Linked DNA regions of Schizosaccharomyces pombe. Changing the gene in region 1 together with any one later gene gives a genetic interaction. Each region holds a gene or a part of one and is shown in the gene's direction. Other genes may lie near its edges. The genes, in order: wsp1 and ubp9.

What was found.
Region 2: mutations in wsp1 (region 1) and ubp9 are lethal when combined (synthetic lethality), as found in Schizosaccharomyces pombe (one study listed by BioGRID).

Annotation. Positions count from the first base shown.
Region 1 is NC_003424.3:4,858,617-4,868,193, reverse strand, and holds wsp1 (actin assembly factor), read left to right. Parts: upstream 1-4,686; 5' UTR 4,687-4,745; coding exon 4,746-4,961; exon of another isoform or gene 4,962-5,046; coding exon 5,047-6,387; exon of another isoform or gene 6,388-6,437; coding exon 6,438-6,570; exon of another isoform or gene 6,571-6,629; coding exon 6,630-6,664; 3' UTR 6,665-6,941; downstream 6,942-9,577. Other genes in the region: SPOM_SPAC4F10.16C (P-type ATPase), read left to right, coding at 84-3,610, 3,657-4,233; btf3 (nascent polypeptide-associated complex beta subunit), read left to right, coding at 6,962-7,007, 7,166-7,575; mpd2 (GYF domain protein), read left to right, coding at 8,226-8,263, 8,381-9,577. UniProt on the Schizosaccharomyces pombe protein: Has a role in regulating actin assembly, so regulating polarized growth.
Region 2 is NC_003423.3:2,932,384-2,942,013, forward strand, and holds ubp9 (ubiquitin hydrolase Ubp9), read left to right. Parts: upstream 1-3,768; 5' UTR 3,769-3,827; coding exon 3,828-3,854; intron 3,855-3,898; coding exon 3,899-4,006; intron 4,007-4,055; coding exon 4,056-4,069; intron 4,070-4,097; exon of another isoform or gene 4,098-4,126; coding exon 4,127-5,735; 3' UTR 5,736-6,379; downstream 6,380-9,630. Other genes in the region: SPOM_SPBC1703.09 (uncharacterized protein), read left to right, coding at 1-36; GTPase Ypt1, read left to right, coding at 606-616, 785-908, 960-1,007, 1,071-1,167, 1,327-1,658; mitochondrial outer membrane lipid metabolism regulator Opa3, read left to right, coding at 2,599-2,706, 2,772-2,929, 3,048-3,438; SPOM_SPBC1703.13C (inorganic phosphate transporter), read right to left, coding at 7,648-8,583. UniProt on the Schizosaccharomyces pombe protein: Ubiquitin C-terminal hydrolase involved in regulating actin dynamics and/or endocytosis at cell tips and septa.

The DNA of each region.
Region 1 (9,577 bases):
TGTCATTGGTATCGTCGAACGTTGCAGTCGTTCGTAATTCTGCAACTGATTGGGAAGAATTTGAGGAATTGTAGATCCCTTTGATGCCTAGCCTAATCAATTTTGATGCTATTAGTTCATTGAAATCCTCTTTGCATGGCTTATCCATATGTGCTTTTAATCATCTACACCATGTACCTCAGCACAATGGCTCATTAGCTCATGAGGGACCTACAAACCAAACTGATTATTCTTCTCGTCATCACGAAAGCCAGTTTTCACAAGAAGCACATGCGGAACAACGTTCGAGGGATGATGAGGAAGCTAACTCTTTTGAAGGTTCGTGTAACAACTCAGATCAGTCATGGACTAGCCGTGTTACATCAAAGAAGAATGAAGCTGGGACCGAAAGTGGAGATGCTTCTGTTCGCAGAATTTACGTAACTAGCATTCCAGAAGAACACAGGCATTTACCATCGCAATGGTTTCCTAGTAATAAAATTCGCACAACCAAGTATACTCCAGTTTCGTTTATCCCCAAAAATCTTTGGAATCAATTTAAAAACATAGCAAATGCTTTTTTTTTGTTTGTCACTCTTCTTCAATGTATTCCGTTGTTTTGTCCCGAGCACCTGGGCTTATCGTTTATTCCTTTGAGTGTTATTTTGCTTACTACAGCTATTAAGGATGGAATTGAGGATTATCGGAGATGTGTTCTTGATAAGAAGTTTAATAATACCTTAACTTGGAAATTGGTAGGGTTCAATAATGCCAATGCATTAGGCGAGCATATTGGATTATGGAGAAAATTAAAAAAATTTATTTCTCATACCGTCGCCGATATGTCCTATTGCCTTAAAAATTCCGGTATCTCATCTGGGCTCGCTACCTTAACCGTGGATAATATATCCCACAGGCACAGTCTCGAATCCGACTCTGCCTTTACTTTATCATCTGTTTCACAAGATAGTCTTGAGATTCATGAGATTGGTAACAGTGGTCCTTCCAACAGCTTTTCTGTCATCCAGGAACAATCAACAGGCTCATCGAATGCCAAATTTGAGCGTGTGTGTAGGAAAAGTTTGCTTGTGGGCGATATCGTTAAGGTTTTGGCTGATGAAGCGATTCCTGCTGACTTGCTCATCTTAAGCACAGAAAACTCAAACGGTGTTTGCTATGTGGAAACAAAAAACCTTGATGGTGAAACTAATTTGAAAGATAAATACGCATTATGCTCAACAAAATGCTGTAAATCAGAGTATAGGTGTAGTGCGGCATCTTTTTGGGTTGAATGTGAACAGCCTCATGCTGATCTGTACAGTTTGAACGGTGTCGTCAAAGCACCCGGCGCTGTGCAATCACCGTCTGAGAGTACAAACGGAAGAAAAATACATGAAGAACCTTTTAGTATTTCTAACGTTCTACTGTGTGGGTGTACTCTGAGAAATTCAAAATGGGTTATTGGTCTTGTTTTATATACAGGATCAGAAACTCGCATACAGAAAAATCGAGGGTTAACTCCTTCTAAACGAAGTCGCATTACTCGTGACTTGAATTGGACAATAATTCTCAATTTTCTATTATTGTTTGCTATGTGTTTATTTTCTGGTGTGTTACGCTCTATCTATTCAGCTCAGAACAACTCTGCAAGGGTGTTTGAGCTATCAAAAAATTCAAACACCGCTCCTGCGCATGGCATCATCAGCATTTTCACTTCCCTCATTCTTTTTCAAAATTTAGTGCCGATTTCTCTATATATCACTATGGACATTGTTAGAAGCATACAGTCCTATTTTATTTTTAGTGATCGAGAGATGTATGATGAAAAACTAGACTGTCCTTGTTCTCCGAAATCGTGGAACATATCCGATGACCTTGGACAAATAGAGTACATATTTTCAGACAAAACCGGAACTCTTACTCAGAATATAATGAGTTTTAAAAAATGTTCAATTAACGGTATTCGCTATGGCAAAAGTCACAATGAAGATACATGCATCAAAAAACGAAGGAATTTAAATTACAATGAAAACTTATCATGCAAGGTTGACTTGGATAAAAAGAAAATGCTTGAGACATTAAGTTTAAGCGACTCACCTAACCCAGAATCAATCACTTTCATTTCAAGTAAATTCGTCGACCATCTGCAATCCAACGAAAATTATATTCAAACTGAAGCCTGCTTCGAATTTTTTAAAGCACTCGCTCTTTGCCATTCTGTGGTAACAGACGTCCAAGACGAAACACTTATTTACAATGCTCAGTCTCCAGACGAAGAAGCATTAGTGAAAGTTGCTCGTGATTTCGGGTTTACGCTTCTAAATACAAAAAACAGACGCTATACTATTCGCATTAGGGGTGAAAATAAGAATTTTCGAGTTTTGGATATAATCCCTTTTACTTCTACGAGAAAGCGTATGAGCGTGATAATTCGTGATGAGGATGGTATAATTCATTTAATTTGTAAAGGTGCGGATACGGTAATATTTCCAAGGCTTTCCAGCGGACAAAACAATATCATTGAAAAGACGAAGAAGCATTTAGCTTCATTTTCATCCGAAGGATTTCGTACGTTATGTATCGCTCGTCGAACTATTGATAAGCAAGATTATCTTGAATGGAAAGTGAATTTCAACGAAGCTAATAGTGCCATTCATGAACGGAACGAAAAGGTCAGTAAAGTTTCAGAGATGATTGAGCAAGAGCTTGAATTACTCGGTGGAACAGCAATTGAAGATAAACTTCAAGAGAATGTACCAGAAACTATCGCTCTTTTGGCTATTGCTGGAATTAAGTTGTGGGTGTTGACTGGTGATAAGGTAGAAACGGCAATCAACATTGGGTATTCATGCAATCTTCTTGATCCAAACATGACTATTTTTCGAATTGATGCAAACTCTTTCGGTGCCTTAGAAGAAGTAGAAGCTTTTATTAGAAACACATTATGCTTTAATTTTGGATACATGGGAACGGATGAAGAATTCAGATTTTTGTTGAAAGACCACAGTCCGCCATCTCCGAAACACGCCATAGTTATTGATGGGGATGCCCTGAACTTTGTTTTGTCTGAACAGGTCTCTTTTCTTTTTTTAATGTTATGTAAGCAGTGTAAGACAGTTTTGTGCTGCAGGGTTAGTCCCTCTCAGAAGGCAGCTGTTGTTGCTTTAGTCAAGAAGAGTCTAAATGTTGTCACTTTAGCAATTGGAGATGGCGCTAATGATGTTTCGATGATTCAAGAAGCCGACGTTGGAGTAGGGATAAAAGGCGTTGAAGGGCAAGCAGCTTCAATGTCGGCGGATTATGCCATCGGTCAATTTTCTTTCCTAGGGCGACTACTTCTAGTTCATGGACGATGGGACTATAAAAGAATGTCTCAAATGATTTCATTCTTTTTTTACAAAAATGTTATTTGGACATTTATACTTTTTTGGTATCAATTTTATAACGAGTTTGATGGAAACTACATATTTGATTATACCTACGTGATGCTTTTTAATCTGCTGTTCACATCACTACCCGTAATTATTGCAGGTTGTTTTGACCAGGACGTTGACGCATCTGTTTCAATGAAAAATCCAAGCTTATACCAACGGGGAATTTTAGGTCTAGAATGGAACGGAAAGAGATTTTGGTAAGTATAACTCTGAAGATTTCTGTTTGCTAAATATTTATTTTAGGTCTTACATGCTAGATGGAATATATCAATCATTGGTATGCTTTGGGGTAGCTCTATTTGTTTTTAAGTTTGGTGATTTTGTAAGTTGGACTGGAAGGAACATCGAGTGTATAGAAGACATAGGACTTTTTATATCCTCTCCTACTATTTTTGTAATCAACATTTTTATATTGATGAATCAAGAGAGATTGAATTTAATATCACTTATTACTTGGATGTTCAGCATAGGTGTATTTTGGATATGGACATTTATTTATTCAGAAGTTGGCCCCTCTTACGCTTTCCACAAATCAGCTTCGCGAACTTGTCAAACTTTTGGCTTTTGGTGTGTTACTGTTTTAACCATTGCCTTATGTTTGTTGCCTCGCTTTTCCTATATTTGCTTACAAAAATTGTTTTATCCTAGAGATATTGACCTTTTACGGAGACGACTTTGTGCAAAGTCAGATGATGAGACTAGCAGTAGTTCATCATTTGCAACAGATATAGAAATGTGCGAACAATGTAACGACCCATTAAGTTCGAAAAAAAATTCCGGTATTGTTACTTCAGTTTCATTCGATGATTCTAATAAGTAGCCATACATCTGAGTTCGCACTGTTTGTTTATGTAGTTATACTACTCCTACCGGACGAGAGTCTTTTTATTATCCTCAACATCACGAATGACTTTTTCTTAATGTTCCCTTTTTTTTCTAATAATTAATGATTATGATTAAGTCATTTTTTTAATAATCTTATAATAAACTAACATTATGAGACAAGCAAACTTCGTATGGTTGAATAAATTTTATTTACCTCTTTACAATGAGGACGATAAGTATGTAGAATGTAAAAAATATTAAACCCGAATTAATGTCTCAAGTTTTATTAATCTATAAACAGTTAATATAATTAGCAAAATTTACCAGCTGCTAATAAGTGCGTTGCAAATTTTTATAGTACATAGCGTAGTATAGTATACTACACTAATTATCACTCATTGGCTTGTTAACTACAGTGAAAATGCTAACAAACGGGAGGAACCAAAACACCACTTATACCACTGTGAGACAGCAATTTTTGAATTGCATTACAATCCGAAAATTCAAATGCCTCCATCTTCCTCTATAACTCAAGAGGATAAGGCAACTATCCGTAAATACATACCTAAAAGCACAAATAAAATCATTGCAGCAGCCGTCGTCAAGCTATATGTAGCTTATCCTGATCCGAACAAATGGAATTATACAGGTCTTTGTGGTGCTCTTGTATTGTCCTATGATACAACAGCAAAATGCTGTTGGTTTAAACTGGTTGACGTTGTGGTATGTGTATGAAGCTTTGATACTCAAAGCAAACTACAAAGAGTGGTATACAATTTAATTGAATTATAACCTTCTAACGTTTTAGAATAATAGTGGTATAATATGGGACCAAGAGCTTTATCAAAATATGGACTATCGCCAAGATCGTACATTTTTTCATTCTTTCGAGCTTGATAAATGCCTAGCAGGTTTTAGTTTTGCAAACGAGACAGACGCTCAAAAATTTTACAAAAAGGTTTTAGATAAAGGTTGCCATCCTGAATCAATTGAGAATCCGGTTTTGTCATTTATTACCAGAAAAGGTTCTTCTAGACATGCGCCTAACAACAGCAATATCCAACCTCCCTCAGCTGCTCCTCCTGTACCTGGAAAGGAAAATTATAATGCTGTTGGATCTAAAAGTCCCAATGAGCCCGAGCTTTTAAATTCGCTTGATCCGAGCTTAATTGATTCTCTAATGAAGATGGGCATTTCCCAGGATCAAATTGCTGAAAACGCAGATTTCGTCAAAGCGTACCTTAATGAATCAGCTGGTACACCTACCAGTACTTCTGCACCTCCCATCCCTCCAAGCATTCCTTCCTCTCGTCCCCCAGAGCGTGTTCCTTCTTTGTCTGCACCTGCTCCTCCCCCAATTCCACCTCCATCTAATGGAACTGTCTCTTCTCCTCCTAACTCCCCTCCCCGTCCTATCGCTCCTGTTTCGATGAATCCTGCTATTAATTCCACCTCGAAACCTCCACTCCCTCCACCATCTTCAAGAGTCAGTGCGGCAGCTCTAGCTGCTAACAAAAAACGACCTCCTCCGCCTCCGCCTCCATCCCGTCGTAATCGTGGTAAACCACCGATTGGTAATGGTTCTTCTAACTCGTCTCTTCCTCCACCTCCACCACCTCCTAGATCTAATGCTGCTGGCTCAATTCCTTTGCCGCCTCAAGGTAGATCTGCTCCTCCTCCACCTCCTCCAAGGTCTGCTCCTTCCACTGGGAGACAACCACCCCCTTTATCTTCATCTCGTGCAGTTTCAAACCCACCAGCCCCTCCTCCAGCTATTCCTGGTCGTTCTGCGCCTGCACTTCCCCCTCTTGGTAATGCATCACGAACAAGCACACCTCCTGTCCCTACACCTCCTTCTCTTCCTCCTAGTGCACCTCCATCTTTGCCCCCCAGTGCACCACCTTCTCTACCTATGGGCGCACCAGCTGCTCCCCCCCTACCACCTAGTGCACCAATTGCTCCTCCTCTACCCGCTGGTATGCCAGCTGCTCCACCATTGCCTCCCGCTGCACCAGCTCCTCCTCCAGCTCCAGCTCCTGCGCCCGCCGCGCCTGTTGCTTCGATAGCTGAATTGCCTCAACAAGACGGCCGTGCTAATTTAATGGCCAGTATCAGAGCCAGCGGTGGTATGGATTTACTGAAAAGCAGGGTAAGTATTGATATTATTACTTAATGGTTACTCGTACTAATATTTTCCAGAAAGTATCTGCTTCTCCTAGTGTCGCATCTACAAAAACTTCGAATCCTCCGGTAGAAGCACCCCCTTCTAACAATCTTATGGATGCATTGGCAAGCGCTTTGAACCAACGTAAAACCAAAGTCGCTCAGAGTGGTATGTCCGGATTTCTCGTATTTTTTTTCAAAAGTTCTTAAGTTTACTAATTCTTTCAGACGAAGAGGATGAAGACGACGATGAGTGGGACTAGTTATTAATATCTTTGAAATTACCTATACTTTTTTGATTCACACAGTCTTTTAAAGTTTTGTTAAACGACTTCACTATTTTTATTTGGATTTGTGTTTATTGTATTAGAGCAAACACCATTTATTCTAAATTGAATAACGCGAATTTGTGTTGATATTACTATTCATATATCGCAACACAGTGTGTATCTTTACTTTATTGTAAGTATGGGAGCAGTCACACATTTCGGTACCACAACTTTAGAAACGTCAAGTTCAAGTCCTTCCACAACCAAAAACGTTTGGTCAAATAGAAACAAATGGATCCCTCCAAATTGGCTAAGTTGCAGGCTGGCGCTCGTATTGGTATGTTCGAATGCATCCCCGTGTTTTGAAGTTGACACCAGCTCTAAGAAATGCCTTGAACGGTTTCAAAGTGGTTCCACTGTAATTGATGCTGGCTATTGAAAACACAGTTGTACTTTTTTCATAGAGAACTGCTTAATTAACTTATCATTGTATAGGTGGAAAGGGTACCCCTCGTCGTAAGGTGAAGAAGCCTTCTAAGTCTGCCATGAGTGCTGCTGATGACAAGAAGGTTCAAGGTGCCTTGAAAAAGTTGAATATGCAAAACCTTGCTGGCATCCAAGAGGTTAACATGTTCAAGGAAGATGGCGGAGTCATTAATTTCCGTGCACCTACCGTTCATTCCTCGCTTCCTAATGAAACTACAGCTATCTATGGTAAAGCAGAGGAAAAGACTTTGTCTGAGATTTTGCCTGGCATTTTGAACAACCTTGGTCCTGAATCCTTGACTGCCCTTCGTCAAATGGCTGAGCAATTAAAGGTCAGTGAAGGTGAAAAGGGAGCTGATGCACAAGCCGACGATGGAGAAATTCCTGACCTTGTCGAAAAGTTTGACGAACAAGATTAAATAAGCAACAAAATATTTCATGTCGGATTTTTGACTCAAGATTTGGGTGCTAATATATGTAAAGTGACTATGGTATTATCAGTAATTTGAAAAATCGTAATTATGTAATTCGTAAGATAAAGATTTTAGCAAATTTAAGTGCAGTAAGCGAGGGATATACTGACGCTTTGTAAATGCACGTTGGCAAGGTACAAGAGGTCTCTCTTGTACTTGTTAAGGTTATACAATTCAACCATTTTCAATATATAGTTTTCTTTGATTAATTTGGTTAAAAAATCTTTGCTGTCATTTTCCTTATAAGTAAGCTTGGCAATAATCTTTTTAAAGATGGTTTGGACTTATTCAAGAATTGCGGAAATTAGCCTACGTTAAGCATTTACTTCGTATTGTTAATAGGAATCGCTAATTTCAATAAACTAAATTTTCGATGCGGCGTGGTAGGCAATTATTGCAGAACACCCACGTTCCACAGTAAGTGCATCTCCCCCACACGATTGTCGCCGCTACCCCCGCTCAGCTGTATTTGTCGTTATTTATTGCAACGGCGTTATTGTTACGTTTTTCCACCTAAAACCTTTACAACAAACAGATTTGCTGGTTGTTAAAAGATAACAAGGATTTTTTACTTTAAGAGAGAAAGTGCTAAAATTATGAATTCAGAAGCAAGTGTATTTAGTAATATGGATTGGTAAGTTTTTTTCCTGGGATTTACCACATTTTACGATTTTCAAAAAATTGCGTTTCTGATACGCTTGAAATACTTTGAGTTTCAAATTGCCTTGTACTAACAACTTATGTTTTGTAGGAGCCAGCTGGCACATTCGTTACATAAAAAAGCAAATAACTCGAGTTCTTCAACAACTGGTGCTTTTCCTCAGTTAACATCTTTTACTAAACCTACTGCCACAAATGGAGTGGATTCTCCTACATCGTCTCATATTGACCCTTCTGTTTCTGCAAAATTGGATTCACAAAGAAAACTGTCTTTAAAAAGTGGCAATATGTGGGACTCTTTAAATGCACCTTCTGAATTGACTAGCAAAAATCCTACAGTATCGTCAACAACCTCATCAGCAAACCCAGCCATTGTTTCAAATGGTGGTTCTCCTTTTTATAAAAATCCAGTTGTTGCAAATAATCCAAGTAGCACCTTTGATATGTCTACCAATTTGTTTAATTCTAAAAATGCCAACACCTCTTTTACAAACGCTTTTTCTAATGAGGGCATATCTCCTGGATTTTTAAGGGATTGTTTTCCATCCTCGAATTCTATAACAACGGGCACAGCTTCTCCCAAACTGGGGAGCCCTTTTAATCATATCAATCGTCCTGTATTAGATCGCAGCCCTTCTTCATTTTCTCAAAGTCGCTCAGCGGTTTCTGGTAATATGAATCCCGGTGTTGGGACTTTGCAACAGCCGCAGCGTGCTGGTTCTGATACTTTTCCTGACTTGAACACTTCTTCAAGCAATCAACCAGGTGGGGAACCGAATGTTGCTTCAGCTAATACTCATTCTCTTGAAATTCTATCAAGCTCTGCTTACCATCCTTCTGGATCATCAAATGGAATATCTGCAGGTTTAACACAATCCGTGGCTTCTCCTGTTGGACAGGTTGATAATCTCGCAGATTTCTCTCAGTCCCCACTACGCAGAGGTCCATCTCGATTTCCCACTAATTCCAACGTTCCAGTGGGAAATTCAATGAGTATTAGAGACACTGATTCTCCACTAAATATTCTTGTTGATAAGGCCAAAGCTAAAGCATCTATTAAAGAGAACGCGTCCCAACCTGTTGCACCAAGCGCATCTCAACGTGAGCATTCTGCTGTCAATAGTCCTGCGGCTGCTATGTCTCCCTCTACAGCTATGTTTTCTTCGGAGGCGTTTCCTCAGCACTTGGCTTCGTTAATTCCTCCCGCTCTTCTGCATTGGCTTTATAAAGACCCTCAAAATAATGTCCAAGGCCCCTTTACTGGAGTAGATATGCATCAATGGTATAG
Region 2 (9,630 bases), on another chromosome or scaffold:
CGATTCGCAAATCCGAGCTATATCTCATTTTATTAATTTTCTTTATGTTGTACATTATTATATCTATACCTCTTCTAATTTGAACCCCTTACTTTAATGTTGGCAACTCTACAGTCTTGACATAAATATACATGTTTCCGTACTTAACTGTCATCAAAATCTAGAAAAGACTCATGTTTTTGTTACTCTTACTTTTTCAAGTATTTTTTTTTCCGTTATGACATATTATTTTCTCTGTTTTTAAGGAAGTATGTACTATTGTAGTCGCGATTTTGGCGTTCGTTTGTACAGTATGGATTTTAGTTAAGTATATTTACAATTTAAGATTGACTGTAAAAACTACAAAAAGTTATAATTTTATATTAATTAACTTGAGTGAAGCCTTTGTCTGCACATATAATATATTTGTTTTGAAAACATATGAAATACTACGGAAAGTTAAGATACGCTAAACGAAATAACGATACTTAATATAATTAGCAGCATGATAGTAAAAGATTTGCCCGTGAGCATTCTTTGGGCTGTAGGGTCCCCCACTCCGCTGCGTTGGTATATGCGTAGACTGAAGCGAGCAACAGAACGTCCGCCATTACTGTGCATATACGATGAATCCAGAGTAGTAAGGATTTAGCATACTATTCAATACATCAGGAGCTAGAAATTAACAATTTATAGAGTATTTTCTTTCCAAAATTAAAGAATTCTTGTAAATTGGGCGATATAATTGCTAATCAATAGGTAATGAGTTTTTTTACCGTAAGAAGATGAATGCTAATATTAATAGATACGACTATCTCTTTAAGCTTTTACTTATTGGCGACTCTGGTGTCGGTAAGAGTTGCCTTCTTCTACGTTTTGCCGATGACACTTATACTGAATCCTATATCTCTACTATCGGAGTTGATTTTGTACGTCCGTTTTCAAGCAGCTTAACCATATTTATTGCTAACTTTTTTTAGAAAATCAGAACTTTTGAATTAGAGGGAAAGACTGTTAAACTTCAAATCGTAAGTGATAGTTTACTTCTCGTTGGCGTTCCGGGATATTTTTTTATTAACGATTTATCATAGTGGGATACCGCTGGTCAAGAACGTTTCCGTACAATTACTAGCTCATACTATCGTGGAGCTCATGGAATTATCATCGTATACGATGTTACCGATCAAGGTATGTAATGTGTGAAGTATGGAAAACCAATTTGATTGTCTTCCGTTTTCTGTATATGCGCGTATATGCGTTATAAGGCGTTTGGGGGATATTTTTATGGCGTTTTCTAGTCTTCACATTGTTTCCGACGCGGTTCCGAGGCTAATGCTTGCTTCTTAGATTCTTTCAACAATGTTAAGCAATGGCTTCAGGAAATAGATAGATATGCCGTTGAAGGAGTCAATCGTCTTCTTGTAGGAAACAAGTCAGATATGGTTGATAAGAAGGTTGTTGAATATTCTGTTGCTAAGGAGTTTGCTGACAGTTTGAATATTCCTTTCCTCGAAACGTCTGCTAAAGATTCTACAAATGTTGAGCAAGCTTTCTTAACTATGTCCCGTCAAATTAAGGAACGTATGGGAAATAATACATTTGCCTCTTCCAATGCCAAATCTAGTGTCAAGGTTGGTCAGGGCACTAACGTTTCCCAAAGTTCCAGCAACTGCTGCTAAACTACATGTTTGTTGGTTATACCTCTGAATGCGCTTTTAATATATTTTTATATACATACGTTTTACGTACTTCGCTGTCATTCCTTTTGTGAGTTTCATTCGCTGACGGTGAACTGCTAATATTAGGTATCTACTTTCTGAGTTTTTACGATACTTATAGAAAGTTATTTGTAGGTTTGGATGCATGCTACGTTTCCCTTTTATCAACGGTAGTTTAAAATCTTAAGCAAAGCTATGTAGAAAACTGCTAGTCTTATGTACTTTATTTTGTAGCGTGATATGATAAACTGTTGTAAACGTTGTATAATACGCGTATTGCTCATTAACTAGCACTTTACAGTATTCCCTAAAACTATAGTTGCTTGGAACTATTTGCATAACATACGGTTCGCTAACAAAAGTCATTAACTAAAAATCAAATATATAATAGTAAGTCAAAGGTTGAATGGTATGTACGTTACATTAAGAAATGAAAATACAACTGTACTACTAAGGACAAGTATTGATAACTGCGACACTAAAGTTTCTAATACAAGCAAAATATTAAGCACACACAGGGATCGGTGTAAGAAGGATTAGTAAACCAATCAGAGAAACCGACAGAATATGCATATCAAGTTCAGCAACATCAAATTTACTTTCCTCTTCCAATAACTTTTCTAATTAATAGATTAAAAAAATAAAGCACGCACTTGGTGTTGCGGTTTTAAATATTGCTATTGATTAACGGAAGAGTATATCTTCGACCTTGCATAAATATCCTAGCTATTGTTACACGCTTATATCTGCATTCTAATTTTATCGGAGATTTCTTTCTTTTATACCTCTATTTAATTGAGGTGGTAGTACTTTTAGTCGGTAATTTGAAATCCTTTGCGGGTTTATTCCCCCTCGAATATTTTTGAAGTTCTGGTATCCATTAACATTTCTCTACAATCCAATGTCTTCTCTAGCCTTAAAAATCGGAAGCTTGTTAGTAAGAACATTATCCAAACCGATTGCCAATACAATCAAAGCCCAAGCTAAAGAGCACAAGGCTTTCCGAAAGGTATAAATCAGTAAAATAGATGATAAAGAGAATCTTATAGCATTACTAACGAAATTTCTATATAGGCATGTATTGAATTTGCTCAATGGATGCATCGCGCGGAATTTAGAATAACAGGAATTAACAGAGCTAAAAGTGGAGGAGCTAATGTACGATTACGACCTTTAAACGATGCCAAAGCAGTCGATGCTGGTGCAACATTTTTATCAGAAACTTTTATATTGTATGAAAATTAATACGATTTGACGTACTTCCTCTCCACAATGCTTAATACGGCACATTGTGAAGGAGCTACGAAATCCAACTTGTCACAATGTTCTTCTCTTGCTAACAATTTACAGTACTGTTGCTGGAGGAGCCATTTTATTTGAAACATGGAGGGCTCGTAGAAAGGAAAAGAATAGACGAGATGAAGTTGCTGAAGCGATTCTTGGTTTACAACATGAAATCGTTCGTATTAACGAAATCATGGAAAAGCAGTTTGTTTTACAGAAGAAAAAGAATGAACTCCAATCTTCGACTGAGGAAATTGATAGTACCGAAAAGGATTTTGACGAACTCCACAAAGTCATTCTTAAAGTTGAACGTGAGCTCCATACTCTTCGTCAAAACACGCCAAGTCAGAACGAGCAAGCAGAAGCCACTCCTTCAAAGGAAATCCCACGTGAAACAGTCTCAGAAAAGGCAGATCATCCTCCATCTTCTAACACCAAATCGGTTTCTACAGGTTAGTGGATGGTGAATACTACGATTACACATAACTTGCATTAATGAGTAAATTTTGATACATTGCAGAAATTCATCTGTTCCCATTTCACCAAACTGATGTTTACTTTCTTTTAATTTATTGTACATTTGATACTTCGTTTAACCAGATCACATTTCCAAAATTAGTTACGGTTTATTTATAGCTTTTTTGACTTAATATCTACTGAGTTTTATCGCTCATTTTACAATACATTGCACTTCGTTATTTTAGATAGTTGGCTGTTAATATAATAATAGCCTAAGATTATGATCACCAACGTACGCCCCTTTCTGAGCGCGTGAAAGCTTCCCTTTGCGTTCACTTCCCCGCTGTGCTTGGTTTGTAAACTTAGCATCCTTTAGTTCAACTCAGCATGTCGCTGCTTCGTTGGATGGGAATGGTAATTCAATTGTTAGTTATGAATTGAAGACTGACAAACTATAGAATTCCCCAGGCTCCACTGACCGGCGTAAAAGCACTTGGGAAGCAGAGTTGCCGAAGCCATCAATTCGCCCTGAAACCCTAACAGATCGATTCTATGGTTTAACAAATGTAAGCATTTTTATTAGTTATAATTTCTTCTGCTCTAACATATTTTTAGTATGGAAATACATGGTATGGCGATCATACTTGTAGCGTTGCTTTTATGATTGTAAATTTCTAACGAAATAGTTACGTGAGTTCTGTCTTAGTATCTTTATACCATTTAAAGCCCTTTCGTGATTCTTTAAATTCGTATCCTCTTCCGAGTGCTCCTCCAAATTTTAAAAGCGTTTGTACAAAAACCAACCATCCTGAATCATCTTCCTCACGACACAGTAAGAAAAAGAGCATGGAGAATAGGAAGTCCTCTTTATACGGGTCCAATGGTATAAATTCTTGCGGCTGTGTCGATATTAGTAACGTCGGCTCTGAATCCGGGACGAAGCATCAAATCGTTGTAGGCGAAAGCAATTGTTCTGCTTATGGAATGAAAGAAAACATATATACTTGTTTAAAGGATCTTTATTGCTCCGTAAGTTGCTGTGATTGTCGTTATGGTATTTGTTCTCCCGAGCGTTTTATCCAAGTTCTACGTAGAGACAATGAAGCTTTTCGCAGTACTCAGCAGCAAGATGCTCACGAGTTTTTTAATTTTCTTCTTAATTCTGTTACAGAAACTCTTGATGAATACTACGGTAATCATTCCGACGTGATGCATCCAAAATGGGTTCATTCTTTGTTTGAAGGAACGCTTACCAGCGAGACGAAATGTTTAACTTGTGAAAACATAACGTCAAGGGATGAAAGCTTTTTAGACCTTAGCATAGATATAGAAAATCACACTTCTGTAACTTCCTGTTTAAGGTCTTTTTCTGCTTCAGAGATGTTGTCCTCCAAAAATAAGTTTCATTGTGATGTTTGCAAAAGTTTGCAGGAAGCAGAAAAAAGAATGAAGATAAAAAAATTACCGAAAATCCTCTCATTACATTTGAAACGTTTTAAATATAACGAAACCCAGGAGGGCCATGATAAACTCTTCTATACTATTGTTTTTACCAACGAAATGAGATTATTTACTACCACCGAAGATGCAGAGAATGCTGAAAGAATGTATTATCTTTCCTCTGTTATTGTTCACGTAGGAGGCGGTCCACATCGTGGTCATTATGTGTCTATCGTTCGCACTAAAACTTATGGCTGGGTCCTTTTTGATGACGAGAACGTAACTCCTGTCAACGAGAATTACCTACAACGATTTTTTGGTGATCAACCTGGTCAGGCTACTGCCTATGTTCTATTTTATACTGCTGCTGATGAAGAAGATGATGATGTTAGTGAAGTAGACACCAAGGAATCAATTAAGCCGATGTCTATTCCAAGTCAACTTAAACAAGAAAGCGTGGAAGTTTCGAATCTATCAAGTACCCCTAGATCAAACTCGACAATAACATATCCTGATATGGATCCGATGGTTGCTTCATTTTCTTCGCAGTATTCTCATAAAACTTTAGATAGAGACATCAATAGCCGTTCTTATTTTGATCGTGAACCATCACTGGATGCAGAAAGATTTCATTCAAGATCTGTTGATGCTTCTCCAAAAGCCGTACGTCGCGAAAGTCGTTCGTTTTTCCCTTCCCTTACACGAAAAAGAAGTAAATTTTTTGGATCATCCCAAAGCAACTCCCCTAAAGATTCACCATTAAGGGATACTCACAAGTCTAGTGATGAACATTCAGAGTCGAAGCACTCACATACGCTTCCTTGGCAATTCTCTAGAAGCCGTTCCAAAAGGTAAAGAATTCTTATTTGTGTTTTTTATTACACTTTTCGAGAAATTCTTTTAATGTTTTCATCTCTCATCGTTTTACTTTATATTTTTGACTTTATTTGGAAATTTTGGCCAACTTTGAAAGTCATGCGCTCTATTTATCCATATGTCACTTTTTTAATTCTTTGAATTCAGTTATTTCTCTGTGTTTATACCTTTTGGCCTTTTTCTGGTTTTTATAATATTGTTTACCGCTCGAGGTTTCATTTTTAACACACGCGTACTACAGTGATTGGTCTTCGTAATTATCTGTTGCGGTATTCAATTTTTGCTATTATGTCTTTTTATAATTGAAAATTTATGACTTTAAACTCCTAAAAGTAGCTTATCTGCTATTTCTTCTCGTTGTTCCCAATTTGAACGGCAACCTTCATACATCGAATTCGAAATTTTTTGGTTGTGACAAATTAATCGATTAAGATTATCTTACTCCTTGTCTTAGCATGAATTTAAGGTAATTAGTGTGCTTAGAATTGTTAATATTATTAATCATGATACTGCAAAATTTACTTGTTGTTTTCTTAAAGATACTATTTACCATGCATATATTATCAATTTTCTTAAGTATACTTTGAATAGCATATTTCAATATAGAGCTTTTCTTTAACAGATTTTTATTTATTTCATTATACATTATTTCATTTTATTTTTATTCATATCGACTTAATGTAAAGCAGCTTTATAATTTAAAAAATTTAGTTTGTTCAATTTTCAGGACAATTGGATGCTAAGTGTATTTTCTGAAAATGGTCTTGAAGTTGTTACAGTATTTGGTTCCTTATAGAAACCATTGTTTTAAGGCAACTTTTTTTTTTTTTAAGGGTTGTAGTATTGTTTAAATTATATGCTTAAGCAATGAAGAGGTTCCGATCTAATAATTATTTAAGTCTATCTTGTAAACTTTTCCGGATAAAACAGGATATGTGTTTATTTTCAATTTTAAAGCTTTATATAAATTAGATTTTTTAATTGAAAATGAGAAAAATTTTTTTAACCTAAATTCTACATGTTTATTTGCTAAAAAACTAGGGAACTTAGGATTTAACAATAATTAATAATAGTTGATCGACCCTTCTTCTAATTGAAATAACAAGTTATAATAGAATTAATTTTTTAACAATGAAAAGTATCAATGTACAATGACAATCCAAATTTAATATAACAATCAGACCTGATTTACGTTTTGGTAATCGAAATGCATTATTCTTTTTGTAAGCTATATACGAAATTTTGTTAATGTAGTATTTATTCAAGGTTAATAAATTTAACATCAAAGCGATTAATGCGAGGAATATTGATAAAAACAAAACACTACAGAAGCCAATGAAGGTTTAACATCGAATAGTTAACACAGTACTACACATGAGTTGTCGAACAAATTATATTATGTCAACTGTATAATCGCAATTTAGTCAATTGCGATTTAAATAGTTAATGGAACCAGGATTAAGAAGTCAATTAATATTTGTATGAATTGAATCTCTTATTGCATATCTAATATTGTAAACACTTCTTGCTAAATCATCTGTAATATAATTTCCTCTTACTCTTTACATGCAAATTGGCCGTTTGGTCTAGTGGTATGATACCATCTTAGGGTGATGGTGGTCGTGGGTTCGATTCCCACAACAGCCCAAATTTTTATGACTCACTTCATTAGTTGAAAACGCTAAAATACTAATCACATCTTCCATAAGCTGATATATACTCCTGAAAACACTTAAGAGTTACAGAAAAAGGAACTACACGTTCAAAATTTACATATAAATTTAAACACTGATAAAACAGTAAAACTTGTTAAGAGCCTATAAGAGAAAGTGGGGGGAAATTTAAAAAGCGACGTTCCATAAAATGAAAGGTTTACTATACGATAGTGCATTTAAGCACCAGTGGCAGGGAAACCACACATAATCTTGAATGAATCGTAGATGAGCCATTGAGCACCAGTCAAAGTACCAATCATGACTATACGAACACCAAGACCATTCCAAAGACCAGAAAATCCAATCTCCTTGTAGATACGAGCAGCAGCAGCGCCAGCGCCCTCACCAGCCTTTTTGTTGGAATTCAACTTGGAAACCATAACATCAGCAGGATGACTGATAATGGCGCAAAGAACACCGGCCATGTAACCACCAGCAAAAGAAATACCAATCTTTTCGGCCTTTGAATACATGTTCTTGGGCTTGCCAATGTAGGTGTACAAAGCTTCGACAATGCGCTCAAAAGAAGCAAATTTCATCATGGTGTAAGGGATTTGGCGGAACCACAAAGGAGCCAGACCACGGTATAAAGTACCGAAACCTTCATTAGTGACAATTTTAGACCACGCTTCACGAGTGGTGTTGGCAAAACGAGGGTTGGAAGTTTGAACACGGACCTTGATAGCCTCCATAGGGCAAAGCATTATATCAGCCAACAATTCAGCAGAGGCAGAAGCAGCCAAGTAAATGCTTGTACGGTATTCATGTGCCTTTTGAGCACCAACCAAAGTAGAGTATTTGTGTTTGAACAACTCATAAAAACCGTACTTACCGCAGCCTTGAAGAGAATAACCAATCAAGGTGGGCATACCACCGGTATACAGACCGCGAAGTCCCTCCTTGCTGAGGATAGTCTTGAAACCAGCAATATTACCAGGGTAGATATTTGGATTGACTTGTTTGCGACATTTGATTAAATCCAAAGGGGTAATGGCACTGTGCGTAGTACCACAAGCCAACAAACCACCCAATGTACAAAGTCCGTAGTATTGGGGAGTGTAAAGCTGAAGGGTCTTTTTAGGAGGAGCAGGAGGTATCAAGGGGGTAGACATGATGAACTAATAAAGTGGGTATTTTAAAACAAAAAAAATGAAAAATATATCAACTGTTATGTTTCAAGATCCTTGATGACTACAAGCCTTTACAATCACAAGAAAAAAAACTTATCGTGAGTTCAAAGAACAAACCTTCGAGTTTGCGTTATAAACAGTTCTAAAAAATAAAAGAAAAAGAAATCTCCAACTAAGGCTATCTCCTATTGAGAAACTGCTAAAAATGAATATTTAGGAATCCGGTTGAGTAAATGTAGGTACTCGTAGAAGGTAGGATCCAAATGCTAGTGTGTTCATACTTTGTTTTACGTAATTTAATCTTTACCAACCCGATTGTATCCGCTCGTGGTTGCATTGGATTGCTCCAGCAAATAGTGAGACAAAATCTCTTCCACTGATATTTCTGCTATACCGGAACTTGTGCCAATCTGACAAAGAGAACGAAAAAGTGGAAACCGGGTTTAAAGATGCGAAAAAGGCAGTCAAATGTAAACGCTAGAGAAAAAAGTAATTTGGATGGTATAGAAGTGCTTGAAAAACTATTTAGTACAACCAAAGAAGAGTAATTGGTATAAAGATTAAAAAAGCAGCAGCTTGGCTTTTCTTTCCTTTTCTATTTGTAAAAAAAAAAAAACAAAAAAAAAATTGTTTACAAGAGTAAGTTTGCTTGTATATTGAATTTGATGATCGTAACAGGCATTTCACCAATATTAAAGAAAAAGACCTCAAGAGTAAACAGTAATTATGAAAAAAAAAGCCAAATGCAATGGGGATAGTATGAAATGTCACGTTCAATTTGTTTTGTGCTAAATTTTATTCTGTCTATATTTTTGCTGAAAAAACTTCCTTAGCTTTGCATTTTTTGTATGAATTTTTATTAAACACTAAACTAGAAGTAATTAATTCCTTCTTTCAGCACACTAAGTTGTTGTACGCTAGCATTCATTTCAAGACATCATTAAGTCACGAAATTACGAAGCACTTTCACAATTTGTCTGCCGTAGGATGATAATAAATAATTTTTTTTTAAAAAGTTCAATGAAAGAT